Drosophila melanogaster: one gene and its partner. The protein of the gene in region 2 purifies or fractionates together with the protein of the main gene of each other region. This does not show direct contact. Each region holds a gene or a part of one and is shown on either strand. Other genes may lie near its edges.

The links.
Region 1: the proteins of CG1354 (region 2) and GstT1 purify together in Drosophila melanogaster (affinity purification with mass spectrometry, with the first as the bait; one large-scale study listed by BioGRID). This does not show direct contact.

What each region holds. Positions count from the first base shown.
Region 1 is NT_033778.4:9,604,024-9,607,880, reverse strand, and holds GstT1 (glutathione S transferase T1), read right to left. Parts: upstream 1,894-3,857; 5' UTR 1,795-1,893; coding exon 1,677-1,794; intron 1,602-1,676; coding exon 1,499-1,601; intron 1,435-1,498; coding exon 1,118-1,434; intron 1,057-1,117; coding exon 908-1,056; 3' UTR 697-907; downstream 1-696. Other genes in the region: GstT2 (glutathione S transferase T2), read right to left, coding at 1-180, 243-345, 397-514; CG1902 (uncharacterized protein), read right to left, coding at 2,939-3,211, 3,270-3,636, 3,701-3,857.
Region 2 is NC_004354.4:9,777,014-9,782,701, reverse strand, and holds CG1354 (uncharacterized protein), read right to left. Parts: upstream 3,961-5,688; 5' UTR 3,893-3,960; intron 3,835-3,892; 5' UTR 3,789-3,834; exon of another isoform or gene 3,769-3,788; intron 3,745-3,768; exon of another isoform or gene 3,651-3,744; 5' UTR 3,641-3,650; coding exon 3,460-3,640; intron 2,516-3,459; exon of another isoform or gene 2,496-2,515; coding exon of another isoform or gene 2,462-2,495; coding exon 2,401-2,461; intron 2,192-2,400; coding exon 1,810-2,191; intron 1,544-1,809; coding exon 974-1,543; coding exon of another isoform or gene 884-973; 3' UTR 608-883; downstream 1-607.

The DNA of each region.
Region 1 (3,857 bases), on a different chromosome or scaffold from region 2:
TCTGGCTTGGGCTTGGGCGCTATCCCGTTCATGGGAAACAGCCAGGCATCTCGAAAGTACATGGAACATGCAAGACGAATGTTCAGGTGTTGCCACTCAAGGAACTCATCCACTCGGGCACGGTTCTCCAGCGTCTTTGGGTAGAGCTTCTCATCGAACTGACCTTTGTCTGCGAGATATCTGCAAGGGGGCAATGTACGATCCAAATGTGAGATTGCTTTCCAATGATGGCCTTCCCATACCTTATAATCGCTATGGTCTCAGACAAATGGAAGTCCCCACCCACAATGGCGGGCACCTTCTGGAATCGATTGATCTTCTTGTACTCGTCGGTCAATTGCTCAACTAATAAAACATAAATGAGTCGGGGCAGTTTAGATGATTACTTTGACTCACATTTTCGCAGGGCAATCGGGCAATACTCAACGGGTGAGTTGCTGAATTTTAAACCAATCCATAGACCACGGGCGATCGGGGACAACAAATCGTAATAGAATCTAATTGGCTTGGACATGGTGGTCAATTGCTCCCGTTCCTCAGCCCCAACTTCCAAACAGCCGGCAAAAACGAATATCTTCAGCTGGAAAATGAGAAATTGAGCAAAGCTCCAGTCAAAAGATCTTGAGTGTCACCTTGCAACACTGGTTTTATGCTATTATAGTTGTCCCGCTTTAGGAGGCAAATTCAAAAGTGGCTCCCAACTTCAAAGATAGTTATATTATATAAAGCGAACATATGAAACTATTATTGATCCGATATCACCCCTTTTCATAGTCTCTAATTATTTTAACATTTAGGAGTTTTGCAGCGCAGAACTGAACACAATAAACATCAGATAAGGCACAAAAATGTTTTAAAATCCTAATAAATGCAATGAACAAAGAAATCAGTCAAAATCGAAAAGAAATCAGTTTTTGGCCTTGACTGCCTGCTGAGAGGTCTTGTAGACGAAGCTGTGGGCCTCATCGTAGTAGGGATTGGTAGCATCACGAACGCGTTCCATCCACTTGGCCACCTTGGGGAATTGCTTCTCATTTACGTTGTACTGGCAGAGCTCTAAATTACAAATCGTTATTATTAGAATTTATTTTAGATACAGCAGTGGGCTCAGTCTTACTCATCTGATTAATTTCTGAAGACCCGAAGATGTCTGCCACGGTAAGTTTGTCGCCGACTAAGAAGTCCTTTTCCAGCCAGAGGCGTTCCAGTAGACCCAAATTACTCTCCACATCCTTGATTAGCTTCTTGACAGACTCTGGCTTGGGAGCCGGCGCCAGTCCCTTTGCCGGAAGAAGCCACACCTGACGGAAGAACAGGGAGCAGACCAAGCGGACATTGAAATGCTGCCACTCGAGGAACTCGTCCACCCGCGCGCGTTCCTCCAAGGTTTTGGGGTACAGCTGTTCACTGAAGACTCCCTTGTCCGCGAGATATCTGAAATGTGTCATTTATCTATAGTATTAACCTGGCAATCCGAGCTCTGGATACTTGAACTTACCGCACTATGGAGACACTCTCGCCCAACTGAAATTTACCATCCACGATGGCCGGCACCTTTTGGAACCGATTTATACTGCGATATTCGTCGGTCAATTGCTCCTCTGGAATATAACCATCCCAAATGTTAGAAGATCTTTATACCTTATATACATGTGTAACTTGTTATTTATTCTTACGTTTTCGCAGGGCAACCGGGCAGTCTTCAAATGGGGTCTTGCCCAATTTCATAGCAATCCAGAGGGCGCGGGATGGCTGCGATAGGAAATCGTAATAATACTTAATAGCCTTCGACATCTTGGCAATTAATTAATCAGTTAGCTTCAGGAAGCCCGGTAAACACGAAAACAAAATATATTTGTTGTCGCTGATGAAATGTCAAAAAGCTCAAAGCAAAAAGCTTTATTCCGGTCCAAAGTTCAAACTGGTCGCTTTTCAACACTGTACCCAAAATGATATTGCCATCCCATCCCATTCTATGGGGAATCCGAGAAGGGCGGGCAAATATATAAGTTCAAAATAATCAGGTGGTGGTAAGAAGTCAGATAAAATATACCAATGATCAATAAAATTAAATGCTGTAGCCTTGCTTTTGTCATAACCGAAAGCTTATCGATTTCACTTATCGGAATCTCAGTTCAAACAGCGATATGTCAACCAGTCATCAAGAACCACAAAGCGTTTATCTCGACCAGATAAACACATTACCCTTACCCCATTTATGAAGAAGGCAACCCCAAGTAATACCATTTATGTTTTAGTTATACCGACATTTAAACAAATTCGCTTTAATTTATTAACGCACTCAACATGGGGTCTACAGTACATTGTCACATTTAAATATAGTCATTTAACTATGTATGTATTATCCATAAATATAGAGATGCATGTATATGTATGTGTAAACTAGTATCAAAAATTAGTAAAAACGACACTTAACCAACTGAAAAATTATCCAAAATATATATGTATGCTCATGTACCGTATTTATAAAAGTATGCGATAAAATCAAAGCCAACAACAACTTAGCACGCAAGTAGAAGACGTTGAAGATTTCATCATGAAAATGCATTATGGGATCATGGTAGAATGAATCGTTCGACCGGACGTTAGAATGTGTATAAGTATGTGCGTGGATAAGGACAGCAATAAATTAAAATCGACAAACTTGTGAGGTTTTTGTGCCATTTGATGGCGATCCATTTGCTTCTTATTTCGTTTTAGTGTGCACTTGTCGTCTATAATATTGTTCAATTTGCTTTTAGTTTCGATGTTCCTCCCTTATGGTTTCATTTATAAAATATCAGGTTCTGCTATGACCAAAGATCGCTTTAGCGCTGTAGTGTCTATACATTCCAGTGTGTATATATCGGGCTGTGTGTTAAATGGGTGTTCTATAGGATGTGCATCAGAATATACAACTAACTGCCCGATCATTGACTCAATCGAAGTTAATCATTCGGAAGGTTCCGTCGTTCGGAACGTCGGTTACTAACGGAGCACCCCTTTCCTGATCCTTCTCACTGGCTTCCCGCAATTTCTCATCCACGCCATATCGCTCGTCTTCCGTGAAGTACGGGGAAAAGCTTAGCAGCTGGGTCTCGTAGCGCGTCATTGCATCAGACAAAGATCCATTATCGCCGCCCATTTCCACGGGTAAATACTCCAATCCAATTGCCTTTCGCAGAGACGCGACGGTGGAGTGAATGTGCAACTGTAGGAAGGGTAGCAAAGAGTTAGTGGTTCTGCATCGATTTTCCCTTTGAACTCACCAGCTCCTTTTGCTTCATGACATTCCGAACCAGTCCAAGGACAAACTGCGTCTCCCTGGATGCATTGACAATGTGCGTGGCCACTAAATTCGCTGGAATTCCATGCTCTAGGAATGCATTCATCCGCTTGAACATGCCAGGATCGAACTGCAGTAGCAGAGAGTAGGGTATCTTGGTGAAGTCGATGATCTCCACCACGCCGGCTATGTTCCAGTTGTCGTCCGTGTTGATCTCGATCTCAGCGCGAAAAGCGTGGAAGCGGAAAATGTCGCTGACACTGTGCTTGGAAGGTTCAATGTGACCCATTCGTGTGTAGTGGATGCGGGGGCCACCAGGGCCAATAGGTTTGGGCAATGTGGCGAATATTCTGCAAAAGAACAAGTTTTTCTATAACACCCACCTCCAGAAAATGAGGGGGGTCCCCGCCTTACCCTGAACGAGCCAGTTCTATCAGCTTATCGTCCACCTGGCGACCCTTGAGCAGTTCTCTTTCCTTTGATTTGTAGGTGTAGTAGAAGAGTACCCTCTTCTTGGCCTCCTCTACGTCCCAGCGGCAGAAGCGCAGAAAGGCCACCAAGAACTGATCGT
Region 2 (5,688 bases):
TTTTCCTTACTTTCATTGCAGACTTTTGAATTATGCTCCACATTTCGAGCTCGTCACACGGTGCACAAGAAAAGTTTCTTTTGGCAAAGATTAACAGAACCCAGAAGCAACCGAAAAAGGGTTTGAGATTGGGATTTAGGGGGAATGTGCGTGTTTCTGGCGGCGCATGTTTGGCAATGCGGTAAACCAAATTATGTGCTTAGCAAGTTGCCGCTGCGACCAGAGTCAGTGGAACCAGCCAACCAGCCAACCAACCAGGCAACCAGCCAGCTACCTCAACCACCCGATCCTTTGTGTACTGGATGCAGCTGCATTTGCACAGAGCAACCAGCGCACAGCACAGCCCCTGCTCCCTCCTTTTGAGTCTTTGTGGCACAGCTCCTTGCACTTGGCCGCTTTTCCTGTTGGCTCTGGTGGCAAAGAGGTTTGCACAGGTGTTTCCAACAGCAACTTTGCCAGCATGATTAAAAAGTTTTGCCACGGCTCAGCAATAGAAATCCGAGACTTCGGTTACCACAATGTCAATGCCTGACAAGGGATATGTCATTTCTTATTGTTTGTTGCTAGCTAGGAGCAAAGGGATAGCAACACAATACTAGTACTTGCCAAATCTACAACCTGATTTTATTACTTGCATGTTTAAAAATCTCAATCCCATGACAAATGATCATATAGCCACAAAGATACATAGGTAAATTCTTATAGAATATTCAAGTATCACTGCGGATTCAAATGGTGCTCCAGTTAACCCGCCTGTTACCATAACAAACAACGACTGAGATTGTGTGTCATAAGCGTGTTTACATAGCGTACAAAAAAAAAGGAAATTCAAAATGCATTTTCAGGCCTCGAACATGAGAGTGAGGGATGTGATAATGAGGAGCTAGCCTCTGGCGAAGCGAAACATCTGGGAGTACAAGATCAAGTTAATGTACAAAACGGTGGACATGGCGATGATCATGGCCAAACGGTATCATTTCTTCTTGGCATCCTTGAGGCCAGCGCCGGCGTTGAACTTAAAGAATATGATGTCGCCATCCTCGACGGTGTAGTTGCGTCCCTGTTGGCGATATTTGCCAGCGGCCTTGGCATTCGCCTCACTGCCCTCCGCCTTGAAGTCCTCGAAGTGCATCACCTCGGCCATAATGAAGCCCTTCTCGAAGTCGGTGTGAATGCGTCCGGCAGCCTGGGGAGCCTTGGTGCCCTTCTGGATGGTCCAGGCCTTCACTTCATCCGGCCCGGCGGTGAAGAAGTACTCCAGCTGCAGTCCCTTGTAGCCGGTCACAACGATCTTCTCCAGCATACTTTTGCACTTGGTCTCCGTCTCGTAGGCCTTGCGCTCCAGTTCGTCCTTTTCGGTCAGCTGGTGCTCGAAGGCGCCGGAGAAGGGAATGAGCAGTGCTCCGGGATCGTTCTTGTCGATCCATTCCTTGATCTTCGGCAGCCACTTGTTCTTCTTGCGGATGAAGTCCTTGTCCGAAAGGTTCACCAGGTAGATGACCGGTTTGGAGGTCAGGAACAGATACTTGTTCAAGGCCTCAATCTGAAAGAGCAAAGTAGTGGTGGCGTCAATAAGAACGGGAGGGAAAATCACAAGGTCACACGAAAAAAAACCACAGATTTCGCTGTTTTGTTGGCAAACAAATAAAGACGATAATAACAACAATGAATGAAACACGAATACAAATGCATTCTTAATAAACAAATTTACAATACAATATTTTATGGATATCCCCTTGTTTTTAAGTAGAAAGGAATAACAATAAGCGTTAGTGCCACCCAGCGGATGTGGATTGTTTTCGTACTTACATCATGGGCATTCCAGTCCTCGAAGCGCAGATGACGCTTCTGATCGATAAGGATATCCTTAATCTTAAGCATCGAATCGTATTCGGGCTTGAGCTTCTTGTCGCCGCCGCGGGCCACCACCTTCTCCAGTTTGTCCAAGTTCTTGAGCAGATTCTCCTCGTCCTTGAGGCGCAGCTCCTCGGAGATGATCTCCAGATCGCGCACCGGATCCACCTCGCCCTCCACGTGGGTCACATCCGGATCCTCGAAGGCGCGGCACAAGTGGAAAATGGCATCGCAGGCGCTGATGTGCGAGAGGAAGTCGTTGCCAAGTCCCTGACCCTCGGCGGCTCCCTTCACCAAGCCAGCAATGTCCACGACGTTCAAATAGGCAGGAACCACACTAGTTTTTTTTTTTTAAATACTTATTACTTTCGATTGTGCAGAACTTTTCTATTAAACTTAACAAGCAAATGGCAAGCAAATAACGAAAATAGCAAGTCCCGAAACTTGTTACGCGTTTTAAATGCGTTTCGTGATGCAGGTATATGTTTTTTTTTGTTACAAGCAATGGAAAACTAAAATGCAATGGATTTGTATGCTCCAACTCACCTGGCCGGCTTGTGGTACTCCACCAGGTAATCGAAACGCTCATCGGGCACCGGAACACGACGTGTGGGTAAGGCAAAAGCCATCGGCGGCAGCATCAGCAGGAGCAGATGAAAAGAAGAGGTAAGACGCATGTTAGTCGGGATGACTTGGCTGGACGCAGAAATGCAGAAATCCAAAAATACAAGAATATGAAAAAACAAAAACGATTGACTGACTGACTGGCTTGGTAGCCCGGCAGCATCGGCGGCCAATCATGGCAATTTTCTATAATTTTGCGCCATCCGCAAAGGGGCAGCGAAACCAAAATGAAGTCGCTCACAAATAAAAAGCGCAGGAAAATGAAACCGAAACGAACCGAAGGCGGGGGCAATTTGCATATTGGGAACTGGATCTGATAAAATTGCTAAGGCCGCGACACGCCCACAACGCGAAGGACAGTGAAGCATGGTTAGCTCAACTTTTAAAGGTGCCTTAAATGAATACAAATATGGTTTCTTAACTAATTTATAGAGTTAAGTGTGCGAAACTATCTGTTACTTCTGTAGTCCAAAAGGAATGGAAACATGAGAACACTCTGTATGAGATACATAGTAAGGATAATCTATAAGATCAAATGCTTATAGCTTGAAGTTTGCTAAAATTGAAGTTTTCGTGCTTTAACATTTGGAATTATCTACAATTGAAGACTATTTCTATGATAAAATGGTTAATAACCAGAAGGTATACTAGCCATAGCATAGTGTTTAGATCTAAGTTCCTGACACATTGAATCCCCCACTTAGCTGCGAATCTCAGAGATTTGTGTTACCTATCGAGGCTGCACTGTGGCTATTTTAGAAGGTCCAGTCGAGAGAGCAATTTGGAATTAGAAGCGGCGGCGGTTGCTCCTGGAGGCCATTGCTGCATCGCCGGCATAAAAATTATATTCCACGAGATGATTACAATGATCGAGGAAATTGCCACCGCCCGCAGGTTCGCCTGGTAATTGGCCAGATATATGTATGTAAAGATATATATATATATAAATATATATATATGTGTGTGTTGGGGAATACTTATTCTCATTCGGCTTGATGGTGCAGAAGGGGAAGTTCTCCGCGGGGGCGGCACTTTGGGTCAGAACGTTGAAAAAAGTGGACTTGCCCACGTTGGGAACGCCAACGATACCGATTCTCAGATTCGTTCCAATTCTGCCGATCAGCGGCTTGCGCTCCGGTTCGTCGTGCTTCTTGGGCGGCATCTTCGTTGATCTGCGGTGATATGGCAAGTCGTTAGTTACATATATCCGATTAATCAGGTATGTAAATACATATATGTATATGCATTTAGATGTCAACTATTTTTATATGCTGCCGGACATAACCTCACATTGCCGGCTGCTAGCTCACCTAGCTCACTAAACGCGTGGATGCTGTCCACTGAACTCAGCTCCAGCTGTGGATGGGAGTTAAGGTTAGTTATTGCCAAATGAACTTAAGCCCCTGTTATTTACAAATATTTACGAAAATTTAAGCGTCCGCTGTTTTTTGCGGCTGACGGCGTGGAAGGAAAGAGAGCGAGCGAGATGGGTATAGGCCGGTCAGCTGTTGACGCGCAGGGTTGCATGCCGACTAGCGCCCCCGGGCGGTTGAAATGGGCGTCGTAGCTTAGCACCGCAGGCGGTAGGGGGCGCCAGCGGGCAGGGCGCGTAATTTGAATTTAGCTCGAGGGCTATGTTATTATCGCACTGGAATTTCAGCATTTTTCAACAGGTTTGACGTCTTCTTACATTATAATTGTTGTGCGGGCATAAGTTTACTTGTGCTTTACTGGTTTGCTCAAAACGAATTGGTTAATAAGGTTATCCTATTTAAAACCTTTATATAATTATATTGCTTCCTAATTAACTCTATCAAATTAAGTGCCACAATATACGAAATATATTGCTGTTATAATATTGTACCCTATTTTATTGAGAACTATGCAATAACTGCCAAGGCTTGAAAGCAATGCGATCAATTTGATGGTTTAATTTTGTCTAGATATACAGGTCGTGTTCCTTCTTCCCAACGCCTTTAGTTTTGACCAGGTTTTCAGGTAAATGCGATCGAGTTAACTGTCAAGGTCGTCGGGCCGACGCACGTACACGCAATTTGGCGGTTTAGTGAAAAGCCCGCAATAATCAATAATTTCGCATAATTAGCGAACCGATCGGCGGATCGATTCCCTGCCTTTATGGCCAACTGAAACGCAATCCGCACGATGGGTAGAAAAACGAAAAGTCGTCAGGAGGAGAGACCAAGGGTGGTTGAGAATCAGGTTTGTTGATCTTTCGCGACTGTTTGGCAATCGATTTGGATCGTTGGTCGATGCGCTTTGATTGATTCCCTGGCCCGCGTTTATGGCCCTAATTAAAAGATCCGTTATGCGTGATCGGTCTACCTTTCAGTATTCGAATATCATGTGCGTGCTAGAAAACTTACTTATAATTTCACGCTGTCTTGCCTCCTCGACCAGTTTCTTTACTCAAGGCATCTCTTTGCGGTTGTCCGACCGTTTAAAAATCCATTTGCAACTGACCCTGGACAACTGTTTTTCGTTTTTTGTTTTCATTCTTTTTTTTTCCACTGGAGCATGTAATACCTTTGTAATGTTTGTCCACAAAACCGCAGGAGGTCCACGCCTGCTGACGATTGAAAGTTTTTCGATCGATTTGTGGTTGTGTATGCTCTTATAAACAACCTGCATTCTGATCCTTTACAAAAGTCGAATACTATCTTATTGGTTTTGTATGTTTATTGAAATATCAATGAAGCAACGATTTTAACAAAAATCAGCATTTAAGATTACTTACTTTCCTATATTAGATTACAAATAAACACAAGTGCATCAAGAATGAAATCTCGACCACATATAAAGAAAAAATATTTAACAATACGCAGCAAAGTTCCATTTTCACACATTTCCCAGAAATGTTTCATTATTAAATATATACAACTTTCGACACAATTCCAAGGACTCTGCGCTACGCCCAAAAGTTATTCAATTTCCAGCATGATTATTTAACGCTAAGCCGGCTTATTTTGCATATTATTTGTTGTTTGGGTTAATTAAGCTGACTTTTAATTGCCTTTTATTGCACTTAATTATTGGAGTCGGGTAGAAAATGGTGCCCGCATACGGTCGCTGGCAAAAGAACGCGAATGGGGCACGTAGCTGGGGCCTCATAAATTTGTATACATATGACTGACTAATTGCGGTTCCCGCGGAATTAGCCCAACGAGCCACCACGCATCTCGATTTCCACTC